2 linked regions of the Astyanax mexicanus genome follow. The protein of the gene in region 2 purifies or fractionates together with the protein of the main gene of each other region. This does not show direct contact. Links are inferred from orthologs where the notes say so. Each region holds a gene or a part of one and is shown on either strand. Other genes may lie near its edges. The genes, in order: ubr5 and zufsp.

Region 1 (8,724 bases), on a different chromosome or scaffold from region 2:
CACTGTAATAACACCATAACATCACTTCCAGCCCAGCTGACGTCAGGCTTAAAGGAAAAATTCACCACTTTTTAACATTTCTGCCCATTTAAATGGTGGAGACTCAAAATATCCATTCACTCAATGACACTCTTGGTATCGCTTTCAATCAAATTCTCTCCACAGTGCCCTAAAACACACTATTAAGCTTTACCTAGACAATAGAGGCTCAAACAAAAGCAACTAAAACTCAAGTTGTTGTTTTTTTGCGAAGATAATTATCTAGCAGAAAATCAGAAAATCCCCTTGCTTGCCTGGGTTGCAGTGCTGATCTCCACCACATTAAGAATGTCAGCAGAGTCATGGTAACATATTTTAGGCATTTACAAATCAAGATTTGTGGAATAAGGAGTCGGACAGCACACATGAATGTATGTTCAAAACAAGCTTATATAAATGTTTTACATCACTAAAATTTGCGTTTAAATGAATAAACAACTGAGAGTCAAAACTAGCAGAAAATCAGAAAGTCCTCTTGCTTGTCTAAGTTGCAATGCTCAACCTCAAACACATTATAAACAATAAAGAGATGGCACATGCGAAGAACGATCTGGAATGCATATAATATATCAGGCCTTCATATGCATTTTTGGAATAAGGAGACGGACAGCACACACATAGGCACGTTTAAAATGATCTTATTTAAGCACTAAAATTTATGTTTTAATTAATAAACAATTAAGACAGTGAAGAAAATATTTCTTAAAACCTAAAAACTCATAAAACTAAAATTAACAAATAAAATGAGTCAATGTTAGAATTATTTTCAGGTAAAAAAAAAAAATAGAAAATCAAAAAAATTCTTCATATGGATTTGTGGAATAATGAGATGGACAGCACACACTTATGTTTAAAACAAGCTTATATAATGCTTTAAAACACTGAAATTGATGTTTAAATGAATAAACAAATGAGATAGTAAAACATATCTTAAAACCTAAAACTTAAAATAAGATTAACAAACTTAGTCAATATTAAAAATGAATTAATTTCAGGTGAAAATAAAAAAATTAAGAGAGACTCTTCATGTGAATATTCATCATTTATATGGATTTGTGGACTAATGAGTCGGACAGCATACATGTAATTCAAATTAAATTCACATGTAAAATCAAAGAAACTAAATTTTAAGTGGTCTCTCATTTATATCCCCAGAGCTGTATGCAAATGTTCTTTATACCATTATTAGAATTTAAATACAACTTAAGTACTCTGCCCATTTGTTTCCATTTCCAAAGCTAAACATTGATGAGGCAAAAAAAAAAACATTTCCTGTGCAAAAATCTTGTATGTGGTCTCAAATTGGAGTTATACTGCTAGTTATTGATACTGATAGGTAATTAACCCGCTAACACAAAAACAACCAGAACCAGTAAGCTCTAACACCATGTTTCTGCTAAAGACACCCTTTAGTTAAATAATATAACACAAAAAATGTAGTTTATATCAATTTGGACAGTGTTGAATTCCAATGAGTTCCAACAGTTTGTGCTTAATACCAATATTAGAATGTGAATACAACTAGAGTACTCTGCTGTCAATTTACTTCTGTTTCCACAGCTTAACTGATCTAAATCAGCTAAACATCTATTTTAACAGGTAATTTTTCACAAACTGATGAGGTTTCTCGTGTAAAACTCTTGTATATGAACTAAAATAATAATTACATTGCTAGTTATTGATTTGGTATTGATATAAATAGCTACGTAATCCACAAACACAAAAACAGCAAGAGACATGTGTATTTTTATGTGTATTTAATCACATAAAAAGGTAGTTTATCTCGATAGAGGATGAGTTGACAGTTTGTGCTTAATGCCAATAATAAACTGCAAATACAAATACAAGAGGAATGTCAATTTATTTCTATTTTAAAAGCTTAATTGATCTAAATCAGCTAAACATCCATACAAACAGGTCACTTTCACAAACGTATGTATAAAACTCTTGTATATGATTTTAAATTGGAGTTTCAAATGCTAGTTATTGATTTGGTATTGATGTTAATAGATAAGTAACCCACTAACACCACTAACCCGCTTTAACACCATGTTATAGCTAAAGAATGTAGCTTATACTGATTGAATGTTCATATATCTCGTGTTAATCTCAAGCTGAACTTTTATAAAAGTGTCTGTATTAGTTTTAATCCATATCACCCAGCCCTAGGCACACCCCTACTGTGTAAATATGTATATGTGCTTAATACCGATATTATGATGTAAATACAACTAGAGTACTCTGCCCATTTGTCTCCATTTTTAAAAGCTAAACATTCATTGAAATGGGACATTTTTCACAAAGTGACAAACAAATTGATGAGGTTTCTTGTGTAAAACTCTTGTATATGATCTCAAACAGGAGTTATATTGCTAGTTATTGATTTGATATTGATATTAATAGATAAGTAACCCATAAATTACCAGAGCCAGGCGGCTCTAACACCATGTTGTAGCAGCCCACGACCCCCTGTAGTTAAATAAAAGAACACAAAAATGTAGTTACTGCGCTCATAATAATGTAGATTTTACCCCCTATTACATTTAAAAGCACAAGACAGAAGAGAAAAGCAGAGAGTTATACCTAATAAACTAAATATAAACTAAATAAAACTGAATAAACTGAATAATCTGATACTGCAGGGCCTTCTTCTTCCTTCATGTTTGTGTTTTTTTAACTAGCCAACCTGCTTAGCTAATCAACCACCGGGATAAAAAGCAGTTTAATATTAATTATTCTCATTTCTGGAAACATTTATAGCCTGATTGTGAGAGATTATACGTTTAATATCCTTATTTTTATGGTTAATTAGCCGGCTGGCGCCGGATAGTCCGCTAAACCACCGTTAACAGTTCAGCTAGCTATGCTAAACTAGGCTAAGCTAAAGCTAAACTATGCTAAGCTAAAGCTAAACTATGCTAAGCTAAAGCTATGCTACGCTAAGCTAAAGCGTCCCGCTCCTCGCGCAGCCAAACTCGATTCTTCTATCGATTATCGATCAGTTACGGCCGCGACAACATCGATATGGGGGTTTTCTAAACAGTTAAAGCCCGTACGCTTTTAAACGTAAAGAAAGTAATCGCTAATAAGCGCGATTTGTCCCCGTTCCCTCTTTTTTCTCCCCATCCCCCAACCCGCATTGTCCATCACTATGGTGTTGGGTCTATTTGTACCACCCATCTGTTTGTGTTACTCCGTGCCTCTGCGCATGCGTCAACTGATATTTTTAGTGTTTTGGTGTGTGTTTCAGGACAACTTTGTGTGTTTTGATTCGTTTTTCTGTGGTTTATTATAACCTTTTTTGTTACAATTCTTCAATACAACAGTTTAAATTTTCTGACCCTTTGAGAGAGAATTTAAAAACAGAAAATTGGCTGTATTTGCATGTTTTATTTATCTGATGGTATTAATAATATAAACGACTTTTGTAACTTTTGTCTAATTACGTAAGATGGTTTATTTAGGTTTATGTATTATTTATTGGCTCAAATATTCTGACACTTTAAGTTAGATAATTGGTTGTATTTGCATCTTTCCATTTTTCTAACAAATCTTCATGATTGAATGATTTTACAATTTTTAAAAACAGAAAATTGGCTAAATTTTTCTGTTTCCATTTTCCTAGCAAATCTTCTGGACAATGATTTTTTTTTTTTTTTTTAACGAAAATCTGATTGTAACCTAATTACTTATGTTGGTTTATTTAGGTCAATGTATCTTATCAGCTCAATTTTTGCAACTCTTTGAGGCAGAATTTATAAACAGAAAACTGTGTTCCATTATTTTAGCAAATCTTTCTAAAAAAAAAGATCAACATTTAAAATTTGATGGTATACATAATATAAGAAATTACTTTTGTAGCTTTTGTCTTAACTACTTAATATATCAGTTCAAATGTCTGGCTGCTGTAAGGCAGAATTTGTAAAAGAGAAAACTAGGTGCAAAACTATTTGTATTTATGTATTTCAATGTATTTCTAATTTATTTACAATAGTTAAGATAAAGAGGATCTGTACTCACAATCTTTTGTGAGACTTTTTTGTTTTCCAAACGTTGCATCATAAAAATGTGAAGTTATAAACCAAATAAACAAAAGAATCTAATCTTAATTTTCCTTATTTTTGTATTTACCAGATTTATTTAACCTTACTTAGATTAATCTGAAAACTGATAGCCAGGCGTAACACTGACCTAACTGACCTATTTATCTACTTAACCTAGGCAACTTGACCTGTAGTTAGATATGCACCATGGTAGCAGGATTTGACAGGGTAGCACAATTCGGCAGCACACCGGCTCACGCTAGCATTAGCTAACTAGCTTCTCTAGAATGAAGCAGCAGAAGTAGCCGGGCCCCGGCGCATTATTACAGGTTAAAACCGGGTAAAAACAGCGGATTAATGCGGATAAACCCCTGTAATACAGTTTATTAGTATGTGTGTGTGTTTAGTATGAGCGCAGGGTGTGTAAAATCAGCGGGGAGTGTGTGTTTTCCCCCCCGCTCTCTCTCTCCGTTAGCCGGGCTACCTGTCATTGAGCTGGTCCTCGGTCCCGGGCAGCGGGTGAACCACGAAGTGTATGGAGGTCATGGTCGCTCCGGAACGCGGGCCTAACGCGAGCCGTAGTCCGGGCTGCAGTGTGCGCACCGCGTGCTGGCCTCCTGCGCCGCTCCGCTGTATAAACTCTCTGTATTCCGCTCCAGAAACGCCGCGCTCCGATCACACAACCGCCTCCTCACCCACACGCCGCCATCTCAGCTCCGCCAGCCTGCTGCTGGTTTTGTGTGCAGAGCAGCGCAGCGGTCCAACCGTGGGCCGCCCGGCTCCGAAACAACAGCCGAGCTGGTTGGACCTGCGGGATCTGGCAGCAAATGCTGGAAGCTGATTGGAGCAGCGCTAAGAGAGAAAGGAGCTGGGGGCGTGGCCTCTTGCTGCTTCTGCTGCTGCTGGTAGTGATGTCACAGTGCTGTATTAGGATTCACGTTAATTTATTACATTTATTAATTATTATATATTACTGAGTAAAATAAACTAATGCGTGTTAGTTAATTTTATTTACTAAATTTTCCTAAATTAAGTTAATATTTTGTTACATTATTGAGTAAAATAACCTGATTTGTATGAATGTATTACATTTATTTTATTATTATATATTACTGAGTAAAATAAACTTATGCAAGGTAATTTATTATTAAGTATTATATTATTATATCATTCAAAAAAATGATGCATGTAAATGTATTAAACTTCTTAAATTATTATTTTATTGAGTAAAATAAATATAATATAAAATATATATGTATTATTATAAAATTATTAGTGTGAAGTTTCCACCAATCAGTGATGGTTTGGAGAGACATGTCATCTGCTGGTGTTGATCCACTGTGTTTTAGTGCAGTGTTTTCTCACAAAATCTTACAGCACTTCATGCTTCCCTCTGCTGACAACTTTCATGGAGTTGCCGATTTCATTTTCCAGCAGGACTTGGCACACTGCCCAAACTCCCAAAAGTACCAAATGGTCTTATATAATATTTTATAGATACTTATTTTTGGGTTTTCATTGGCTGTAAGTCATAATCATCAACAATAAAAGAAATAAACACTAAAATACACTGGATTTTGTAGGATTATTGGTTATTGACTGGACCTGAAGAGTTTAAAGATAACGGGGGAAGCATAATGTAAAATTCTAATATTATTAATACCATTATTGAATAATAATAAAAAAAAAAAATTATAAAACACCCCATTTTCCCTCTTTTTCTTTGCCATTTAAGCTCTTTAGGTCCAGTCAATAACTAGAAATCTAATGTACAAAATTGTCTTTGAGGAAAACAAATAAACTAAAAACTGAAGAATTTTTTTTTTTTTTGTCAAAAACGGAGGGGGTGATTTTTTTTTTGTTAAACTTTTTTTGCTTAACAGCTTACAGCTAGTGAAGAGCAATGGGAAATGTCAGTTTTCTTTGTCTGTACTACAACATTTACACACAGCACATTCACACTTTCATCATAATAATTAGACAAAGACACAAAAACACAGAGAACTTTGTCACTATTAAAATACAAGTCTTTTCTTTAGAGAAAGAGCAGTGAGTACTGTTTTCTACACCTTCACAAGACTCTTGGAAACAAGAGAAAACTGCTACAGGAAGACGTCTGGCTGACCCACATGGCAACAGCTTTAGCCTTTAGCTATTTAGCTTAATATGCACCAAAACACTTTTTGGATGAAACTGAAACCAATCAAATGATGGATACCAAACAATTTTTTTTTTGCAGGTTTTCATTCTTTATGGAATAATGGTCTGTCGGATCACAATTTGTCACTTATTTAGGGTTGCAAATCAGAACAGGAGCAACAGGAGCGTTTACGGGTATAACACTTAAACCTGTCACTAACGTACCCCTGGGGAGGCAGATGGGTGGGGGGTCTACAGGGACCTGAGAGACACAAAGCGTGTGAACACCTCTCTCAGATTACAGGAGAAAGAGAGGAGGCTGTAATTTGACTTGTACGTTGAGACCAACTGCTGCTCAGCGGTTTTTAATCCCAAACAGGTACCTGATGTTGTTAACCATGAGCTCACCATGTCACGCTCAGTCTACCAGCTCTCAACAGCATGATTTATATCACAAAACAATTTATATCAGAGAGAAATATGATTTATTATTGAGCCCTAATGTATTGGCAATACTTCTACTTGAGTCAAGCTGTTTCAAGCTGTGTGATTTAGGAAGACTGGTTCTGAATTCAGGCTGATTCAGTATTGAACTGGTTCTGTTCTGAGCTAATTCTGTGTTGAGCTAATTCTGTACTGAGCTAATAAAGTATTGAGCTAATTCTGTATCAAGCTAATTATGTACTGAGCTAATTCTGTACTGAGCTAATTCTGTACTGAGCTAATTCTGTATTGAGCTAATTCTGTACTGAGCTAATTCTGTACTGAGCTAGTTCTGTATTGAGCTAATTCAGTACCGAGCTAGTTCTGTACTGAACTAATTCTGTTTTAAGCTAGTTCTGTACTGAGCTAATTCTACACTAAGCTTATTTAGCACTGAGCTTATTTTATACTGAGCTAATTCTGTACTGAGCTAATTCTATACTAAGCTTATTTAGTACTGAGCTAATTTTATACCGAGCTATTTCTTTACTGAGCTAATTCTGTATTGAACTGGTTCTGTATTGAGCTAATTCTGTACTAAGCTAATTCTGTACTGAGCTAATTCTGTACTGAGCTAATTCTAATGTTATATAGAGTTAATTACAGGTAGATACTCTCACTGATAACTGACTTTATTAATGTTTATTTGGTTTTAGCAGAGACTGTAAAAAAAGATGGACGTCGTGTCTCCGTTCCCATTCATTCACTGAAAATGAAGCCAAAATCTTCCGCCATGTTGGCGATCCTGACACCCGATTCTTACCCGACGTTACTTAAATTCGCTGAAATTAAATTTACTTAAAAAACGCAAATGCAAAAAAATTGCGGATTTTTTAAAAAGTAAATTTTACTCAAATTTGACTAATATTCAAATAAAAATATATTTTTTTTCAGCAGTGTGGTGTGCTGAGTAAAGTAATGCACATATGGTCCAAATGCAAAAAATGAATATCATAGCGTACTGAACAAGCCTCTAAATATGTCTATAATAAACAGATACAGCTGCTGTAGTAACAGTGTGTTAGCTTTAGTAACCAGCAGATGGCGCAATAGCACTGAACCATTATTCTACAGATTCATCATCTACAGCAGTGTTTCTCAACCAGGGTGCCGCGGCACCCTGGGGTGCCGTCTGGCTTCATCGGGGGTGCCGTCAAAATATTGCGCCTCACGTGCATATTTCCTTTCCAGAGTCAGCTCGTGTCGGGGTGTGTCCCAATTCACAGGCAGCATACTCTGAAGGATGCGACCCACAGAGGCGGTGTATTACTGCGCAGCTGTGACGCAATCTGTCTTCGAATACAGCCTCTGAAGGATGCAGCCCCTAAATTGGGACACACTGTAAAGTTTTTGTCCCCCCACGCGATGCACGCGCTATTTTATTTCATATTCCGCCAGCAACACCCCTCGTTCTCACCTGAAGTACTGCGCCAGCACCCCCCCCCCCCCGTTCGTAAACTGGGGTGCCTTGACATCTCGCATATATTTAAAGGGTGCCGTGATAGAAAAAAGGTTGAGAAACGCTGATCTACATCACATACTCCATGCAGTCTTACAAAGTGTGGTGAGTTTAGCTCTATATAACTCTGTATAACATTAGAATACTAAACCCAAGTAAACATAAAGAATAAAGTCAGTGATCAGTGAGAGTGTCTACCTGTAATTAACTCTATATAACATTAGAATACTAAACCCAAATAAACATAAAAAATAAAGTCAGTGATCAGTGAGAGTATCTACCTGTAATTAACTCTATATAACATTAGAATACTAAACCCAAATAAACATAAAGAATAAAGTCAGTGATCAGTGAGCTTGTCTACCTGTAATTAACTCTATATAACATTAGAATACTAAACCCAAATAAACATAAAGAATAAAGTCAGTGATCAGTGAGAGTATCTACCTGTAATTAACTCTATATAACATTAGAATACTAAACCCAAATAAACATAAAAAATAAAGTCAGTGATCAGTGAGAGTATCTACCTGTAATTAACTCTATATAACATTAGAATAC
Region 2 (8,724 bases):
TATATATATATATATATATATATATATATATATATATATAATTTGGACTTCAGCAATGAATTGTCTGTTTGTTAGCATATGACTGTGCACTAGGTATAGGGTTTTGGTATCAGGGCTCTGCTGTTGAGTACATTAGTCTGGTATTGGGCTGGTATTCATACATCCCTTCCTTACTTTAATCCACTTTGTATTACACCGACCGTTAGTTCTGCTGCGTCCATCGTCCACTCCAGAGGCCAGAGATTCCATCATTTCAGCTCGTTTCTGGTGAAATTCAGCAGGGTCCATGTGACCTCGGCTCACAGCTCGCTCCATATTACGCTCCAGTTGCCTGCGGTAGCCGCCGCTATTGTCCAGCCCAAACACTTTCTGCACAGATCACAACTTAATCAGTTTTAATAACTTAAATTCAGTTTCTAACAGTCATTTAACATTTTGTGAACATTTTGTGTGTTGTAGTCTATTCACTATCCCAAAGGGTTTAACACTAATGCTTCATATATGAAATCAGTGAGGGGAGAAGCTTTAGTATTATTTGTATTCCTCAGGTTTGTACGGAGTTGTAAAGTTTACCTGCAGCTGTCTGAAGTCTTCTTTTTCCCTTTTGGCCTCTTCCTCCTTTCTCTTCTTCTCGTCTTCCTCCTGAAGCTGCCTGGCCAACTTTAGGTCTCCAGACAGGTCTCCTGAAAAAAAAAAGAAGAAAGAAAAAAGAAAGAGATAAAACCCTGATGGCGCACCACTATAAATAAAGGTTTTCAATTCAGGTTTTCAATAATATTATTGTTATTATTATTATTATTATTATAACAGATACAATAATTACACATTTGCACTCCACACGTCTACCATGACTTGAGTGTAAATAATACAGTCACACATTTAGATAAGGTGTGCTGCTGATTAATACTGAAGAAAAGAAACTTTATTTTTCATGTCAGTTTGTATAATTAAATATTCTGCACTGATTTCTTTAGTTTAGTAGTGACTTTTTACAACATTACCTTTTACAGGGTGTTGAATATCTTATAAATTGATATGACTGACCTACCTGACCTTCCTTGGTACCACCTACCAAGGTGTGCAGTTCTCCTCACTGGTAAAACAGAGCGTTTCTGTGATAGTTTTATATTATATTTTAAGCTCCACTGTAAAACTATCCCAGACTGCAAATTCTAAATAGACTCTTTAGTTTATCATTTGAGAACTCTCCTCAGTGCTGCTGGCAGGGCAATAACATCTGTTATTGACATATTAAGGACACCAGACCCGAAACTCAATTGTCATAAATGGACATGATTATGTGTCCTACGTCTAATACACATTATCGCATCTTTATGATAGAACAGAATAACTGCATAATGCTTTGCTGATATTTCCATCAATTTACCTGCAGCAGCAGCCGTGCCATACTCCAGATGCAGCTCTACATGCTCCTGCAGCGAGCTGTTGTCCACACAGACCAAGGAACACAACGGACACTCGTACAGTGGAAAACCTACCGGTTCCAAATTAAAGCCCAGGTAATGCACAGCTGAATTTAAGCAATACAATGCATTTCCATTTTAGACACATTTTTTTAATTCATGCACCAATCCAATCAAATATCTTTTTTCACCTGGTTCTCCGTTTCTCACAGAAGAACATGCCTGTGCTGATGCTCCTGCTTCAGGAACAGCTCCTGAAAACAACAAAATAGCATATGCAATACTGCCTATATAGTAAGATTTATGGCTACGGCACAGAAAAACAACAGTGTTAATAGTATTATACCCTACTTGGATGCAATTCATTTTACAGTAAATGTTACATCAGTAAAATACACTTATAATCAAAAATGAATTGCACACAGAATTATGGCTGCACAATATATCATTTCAGCATCGATATTGCAATGTATATATTTTGTATACAGAACTAGTTTGCTGCTTAAGAAATAAAAATCAAACTATTCTTATTTTACATAATAATATCTACCAGATAAACAATTATATCTACCAGGTACCATTTATTTTACTCCAATCATTGGTGCACCGATTGCATTATTATTATTATCATGACGTACTGGATTATTGACAAGACAGATTGTAAATTAATACTAAAGCTATCCAGACTATGAAGAAAAGCATATGGAACAAAAAACAAATGTTGAAGAAAGCAGAATCTGTTTTATACTTTAGATTCTTCAAAGTAGCACCTCTTGCTTAGATAGAAACAGCTTTGCACATCTTGGCTGGATTTTCTCAGTCAGCTTTATGAGGTAGAGTCACCTGGATTGATCAGCTTTCGGTTAACAGCTGTGCTGAACTTGTCAAGAGTGAATTACTTGAATTTCTCTTCCTCTCATTGTGTTTGAGAGCATCAGTTGTGTTGTGGAGAGGGAGAGTTGGTAAATTGTAATGTAAATTGCCATTAAGTATGCTTATTATTTCTATATTATTCATTTATTTATTAGTATTTGCTTCTGTTAGTATAAATATATTGGTTTCTGTATTGTGACCTGCCACAGGACAGCTTTAAAACACGAGGCAGTGGACAGACTTGTCTTCCTGGCCCGCAGCCTGTAGTAGGGTATGTCTGGTGTGAAAATTTGACAGCACTAATAGACAGGACTGCACTAATGAGGATTTATTGAGCACAACTGAGTAAATTATATGTTCTCTTTTGTTTACATTGGAAAGTTGCTTGAAGATTTTGTTATAAAAAGAAAAGAATACTTTATTTTGTATGATAGGTTTTATTGATTTGGAACTGACCAAAGAATTTAGTTCTCTGCCTACTTTTTTATTCTGTAACATCTGATCTTTGAATGAAGTGTTATGCTTTTATTTATTTATTTATTTATATATATATTATAGTTATATAATGTTCATTTGTTACCTTCTGACTAAATAACTCCCTTATCTCTCACTTATGAGTAAAAAGAACCCTTTAAGTGTGACAGTGATTGATTTATATGGTGATACATATCGATATCGACTGACACGGAAAACTATATTGTGATAAGATTATTTTTTCCATTTCACCAAGGTCCTATTCTTGAGCACCTCTGTACACTCTGAGAAAATAGGCAATATTTAATAATATTTAACAAATAAATAGAAGAATCTATACAGACCCAGGAGCATCATAGCACATTTACACCAGACTAAAATCACTGAAAAACACCAGTAACAATCGCTATACTACCTTCAGATGCAGATGAAGCCTGGTCCTGGAGATGCAGCTCAACGTGTTCCTGAAGAATAAAGCAGTCACTGCAGACCAGACTGCAGAACGGACAGGGAAACATCCTCTCTGCAACAAAACGACCATAAATAACCAAACATATCCAAACAAAGGCCACTATAAAATAAATATAAGAATATATTAAGACATTTTATTGATGAATACCTTTCTTGGGGGAGGACAGGCGTTTCTGTTTGGCCTTGCAATGCTCTGCTGAGTAATCCTCAGACTGCCCAGGGTGGACGCTGGATGTTTGTTTTTTAGATGCGCTTGCTGTGCTTGCCGCAGGAGGTGAGGATTTAATCCTGGACTGGGCTCCTTGACCTTGAGTAAGTGCAATTCCTGCACTAGGCGCAGCCGTCTCATTAGCTGTTTTGAGAGTGTGATGACCTGATGTTTGAGGGGAAGCTGGAGTTCTCCATGAGTTACAAGAGGCTGGCGAATTCTTCACAGTCCATTTAGCACCATTGGTTTCAGTGGGGTCTGGTACCCGATCTGCTGATGCCTTGTCAGTGGGTGAGTTCTGAAGATCCATCTCTGTGTGTGCAGTACTAATGTGGAAGTTCAGCTCATCGTAGGAGACTCCTGATAGCGAGCAAAACGGACAGCTCATCTCATTTTCCAGGTGGCTCAGAAGGAGGTGGGTTTTTAATTCTGATTCAGATGCAAACTCTTGGCAGCAGATGTCACAAACAGGCATGGTGGGACAGCTTCTGTCAGTGGAGTACATAGTAAACGTGCAGAATCAGTAAGTGTTTCATGAAGCATCTCAAAATTGTACTGTTATAATATTATATTATATTATAATAATGTGCTTTTTAAAGGGGCGTAAAAGTGCTTCTCCCACTGCATTACATTAAAAGTCTCTCAGGGGCTACTTTTCAGTAGTGTATCACTTGGTGAGAGATTGTTGACTGCTAGACCTGCTTCTACAATGCATGTGAAGACATTTGCCAAGTTCACTTCAAAATGGGGTACATCAATGGACTCAGCAAAGCAGGATGGTCATTTTTGACAAACCATAAGCCAGTCATCCAGCAAACGTCGCCCTTTACAGTGGTGTTGTGACCAGGAAACCTGGACTGATAAGGACTAAAACCTTATTGACTTTAAGAAAAGCCTCAACCGCTGGGTGATACAACAGACAACCACTAAAATGTGCCACGTGATGCCTCTCACGGCAGGGCTTCCAACTGGAACAGTTGGAACAGGATAATGCTAACTCATTAAGGGTTTTAAACTCATCAAGGGTTTTACCAGGAATGCCTATTGCAACACTTCCTTGGCCAACTAAATTACCATATTTATCAACAATTGGGCAACCAGTTTGGTAAAGATTGTTATAAGGGTTGACCAGCTTATTCAGACTGGTTATTCTGGCTAACCTGCTTGGTAAGGCTAGTCTTGGTGGTCAACCTGCTTGGTCAGGCTGGGTATTGTGGCCAACCAGCTTGGTTGTGCTGATCATACAGGTCAACATGCTTGGTCAGGATGGTTATCCTGGCTAACCTACTTGGTCAGGATGGTCTTGATGGTCAACCAGTTTTGTCAAGCTGGTTATTCTGACCAACCAGCTTGGTCAGGGTGGTTATTCTGGCTAACATACTTGGTCAGGCTGGTTTTGTTGGTCAACCAGCTTGGTAATGAATGTTATGAAGGTTGACCAGCTTGGTCAGGCTGGTTATTCTGGTTAACCTGATTGGTCAGGCTGGTCTTAACGGTTAACCAGTTTGGTCAGGCTGGTTATTCTGGCCAACCAGCTTGATAATGCTGGTCATACAGGTCAACTTGCTTTGTCAGGCGGGTCTTGCTGGTCGATCAGCTTGGTCAGGCTGGTTATTCTGGCTAACCTGCTTGGTCAGGATGGTCCTGCGGGTCAACCGGCTTGGTATTATTTGTTTTGAAGATTGACCAGCTTGTACATGCTGGTTATTCTGGATATCCAGCTTGGTCGCAGAGCATGGTCAAGTTTGGATATCTAGCTAGCTTTTTTTGGTTTGTCATGCTTGTAGAGCAACTAAACCATCAAAGTCTGTGTTAACAAAAACAGAAACATACTCTACATTGGACAAAATCTAAACTGGTCAACCGGCTTAGCTTAACCAGCTGGAGCTGTGCAGTTTTGTTTACAGCAGGGATCTAAATCTAAATAAACACTCCCACATGCAAGTTCGTGCACTAGAAGTCAGAAATATGTTGCTTTTTTAATCAAACGAGGACGATGGCATGTTTTAGACAGAATGAATGAGCCCCTTCAATGTATTCAATCATATTCAACCATTCAGAGACAATAGAAACACACAGATAAACCTCCAGCATATCTAGCTACATTTAAATGGTGTAGGTTAAATACTTACTCGAGTTGTTTTAACCTGTTAATCAGTTTTTCTCGCTGCACCTCAGGTTCTCCGGGTTCTCATTTCACTGAAACTCAGCCTCTTTATTTTCGTTTTCCTCGCCTGACCCGCTGGAAACATCGCGGGAAGTGACGCGCTTCTCGGCCGTAACCTGGGGACGCCATATTGCCCTCCTCAGCCGGAGTGAATCGGGAAGGAGGCGAGAGGAACGGAACAGCAAATAAAACACGAAAAAAGCGACTATCCGCACAGGACTGGGGTCTAGAAGTGAACAGGTGAGCCTCAGTCACCGTCCGGTGTGACTTTAGGTTGGGTTAAGGGTGATTAGGGGCTTTAATTACGCTGAGAAAGGAGGGCAGAGGCGGAGTGACGTAGGTTAGCTAGCTTAGCATTAGCTCTGCTAACCTAGCGTTAGGTTAGCACTAGCGAGCAAAGCTGGTATATTTGGGTTGCGAAACCAAGAAAAAACAGATAAATTTCCTTCTTAGTGCGGATTAAAACACATTGTTCCCAGTTACATTGGTTTACCAGCTTGTAATGCTAACATACATCTTAGTTGGGTGCTGTTTAATGCTCCAAAATGCTGGAGTTGCCTTCTTAATCTAATTGTCCGTTCCACCTTATACAGGGCAGCAGTGCCAGCTAAATCCTGCAGACTCCAGAATTTAACTGCTCATATATGTTTATGGTAACTACTCTACTCTTTAAGGTGGAATGGGTGGGTTCAGTTTTGTGTTGCCCCACCTGGCATCTAGCTAGCTAGCTTAGTTAGCTAACGCTAGCTATCATAGCTTACTAATAAACCAGCTGTTATTTAGCGCTACCAGTTTTAGAACTCAAAATCCCACCTGATTTATTTTTTAAATACAGATTAACTTTTAAATACAGTACATTTTTAAGCTGTATAGTTAATATAACTTGTGGTATTTCTATAATATTGGCTGCTGAGACTAGCTAGCTAATGTTAGCATACAGTTATGCTAATGTGTTTAGTATAACTATATTCAGCTTTTCCATATTAAAATAAATAAAATAAAAACAGTTTGAGATTTTTTTAATCATTATTTAATGTTCTGTCTACACCACTTAAAGGATTGTTAAATATTGTTGTGCTTTAAAAGTGTCTTTAAGGGGCACTAAACCCCCTGATTTTTGATGACCCCACCTTCAGCTCAAATTTGGAAAAAGGCTAAAAATTGGAAGGGGCGTTGAGTGATGTATGGGTTTAGAGGTGCGGCAGGAGAGAGAGCTGATTGGCTGAGCTACTGCTGCAGCAGTATGCCTCTGATAGCAGTGAGACCCAGATGATTGGACGTCAGCAGGGGGGCGTTATTATTAATTGTCTGATCTGCATATTGTGAGTGTTAATAGTCACATATTAAAATAACTGATGTTATGTAAGAGCCAAAAATCTAAATTGTAATCGAAAAGAAAGTCGAAAGAATTTATGGATATTGATGACATTTTTGAGCCATCATCATGTAGTGCAAGTTTTAAATGTGAAATAAAAATGTCTGGAATTTTATATACTTATAAACTTGAAACTTTTGCACAGCGTGCAAGACCAATTTGATCAGCTTTTGCTGTATGACCACTAGGACAACAAAAATGGCGAGTCCAGGAAAAGACAGTTATCGAATGAAAAGCTACAAGAACAAGGCCCTGAACCCGCAGGAGATGAGAAGACGGAGGGAGGAAGAGGGCATCCAGCTGCGGAAACAGAAGAGAGAAGAACAGGTAGGCCTGTAAAGCAGTATTACTCAAGTACACTTTGTTGCAGAATCAGACAAATCCAAAGGGTGGAATTGGACCACGTCCAGTGGTTTGTTCCTATTAATTCGTATTAGTCTGAAATCCTGTAATATTTCCTCCTAATCTCTTTCTCTCTTGCTCTTACTCACACACATACACACAGGCTGTTTTTAGCTCAGAAATGATAAACTCCCGAAAGTTTTAAATACTCTTCTTACCCATGTTTTTAGCAGTTACACTCTGCCCTTCAGCTTCATTTAGTAGCTTGCTCCTGTACTTATGTTAAAAGTAACATTACCTCAACCAGGAAAACTGTAATTTATCCTGTGTTCTTCTAAAGCTAGGCAGTGTAATTGTAATAGATGTCCCACCTCTTACATGACTCCAGATTCTCCTGCATGCCAACCACAAATCATATTATATAATATCTTGGGGCAATCGAGCAAAACAGAGTGACCAACATTTGTTGTAGGCATGTGACAAGGAGAGCATCCTAATTGATCTCACATTGTGCTCAGTAGATCATTACAGAATTTAACACAGACATGACTCACATGAGAGATCTCATGTAGTTACAAATTAATGAATATAGGCATAATCTGGATTTGGTAAACAACTATGCTTTGTTTCATTTAGGCCAACAATTTTTGTACATACGATTCATATGATGGGCAGGTGCCTTCCTTTTGATGTTTCTTAGAAAGGTCTCTGGGTTTTCGGATCAGCACTAGCAGAAATCTGACGTCTGGTGTTCAAACAATGCAACTGCATGAGATTTCATAGTAACAGAATGTGGAATTGCCTGTTTCAGCCATGCACAACGTATAAGTTTATATATACAGCTCTGGGAAAAAATAAAAGCCACTTCAAAATAAGTTTCTTTGATTTTACCAAATTGAAAACCTCTGAAATATAATCAAGAGGAAGATGAATTATCACAAGCCATCAAACCAAGCTAAGCTGCTTGAATTCTTGCACCAGGAGTGGCAAAAAGTTATCCAAAAGCAGTGTGTAAGATTGGTGGAGGAGAACATGCCAAGATACATGAAAACTGTGATGAAAGACCAGAGTTATTCCACCAAATATTAATTTCTGAACTCTTAAATCTTAATAAAAAATATTTACTTGTTTTCTTTTGCATTATTTGAGAATTATTAGGAATTTGGGAGATTTTAGTTTATAGAATAAAACAATTATGTTCATTTTACTCAAACTAATACCTATAAATATTAAAATTGTAAAACTGCTTTACAAACTAATGTGGTCTCTTATTTTTTTCCAGAGCTGTACATAAAATATGTATGTAGTTCAGCATATTTTTGCAATTAAATGACATATTGGTGAAAATGAAATTTCACATATTCATTTTGCAATTAATGATAAATTAAAA

Evidence for each region.
Region 1: the proteins of zufsp (region 2) and ubr5 purify together in Homo sapiens (affinity purification with mass spectrometry, with the first as the bait; 3 studies listed by BioGRID). This does not show direct contact. The link is inferred for Astyanax mexicanus from reciprocal best matches to the Homo sapiens genes ZUP1 and UBR5.

Annotation. Positions count from the first base shown.
Region 1 is NC_064408.1:122,133,636-122,142,359, forward strand, and holds the start of ubr5 (E3 ubiquitin-protein ligase UBR5), read right to left. Parts: upstream 4,837-8,724; 5' UTR 4,629-4,836; coding exon 4,567-4,628; intron 1-4,566. UniProt on the Homo sapiens protein: E3 ubiquitin-protein ligase involved in different protein quality control pathways in the cytoplasm and nucleus. Mainly acts as a ubiquitin chain elongator that extends pre-ubiquitinated substrates.
Region 2 is NC_064411.1:31,758,108-31,766,831, forward strand, and holds the start of zufsp (zinc finger-containing ubiquitin peptidase 1), read right to left. Parts: upstream 5,717-8,724; 5' UTR 5,583-5,716; intron 3,939-5,582; 5' UTR 3,926-3,938; coding exon 3,391-3,925; intron 3,295-3,390; coding exon 3,187-3,294; intron 1,679-3,186; coding exon 1,616-1,678; intron 1,496-1,615; coding exon 1,388-1,495; intron 684-1,387; coding exon 574-683; intron 370-573; coding exon 201-369; intron 1-200. Other genes in the region: kpna5 (importin subunit alpha-6), read left to right, coding at 7,191-7,319. UniProt on the Homo sapiens protein: Deubiquitinase with endodeubiquitinase activity that specifically interacts with and cleaves 'Lys-63'-linked long polyubiquitin chains. Shows only weak activity against 'Lys-11' and 'Lys-48'-linked chains.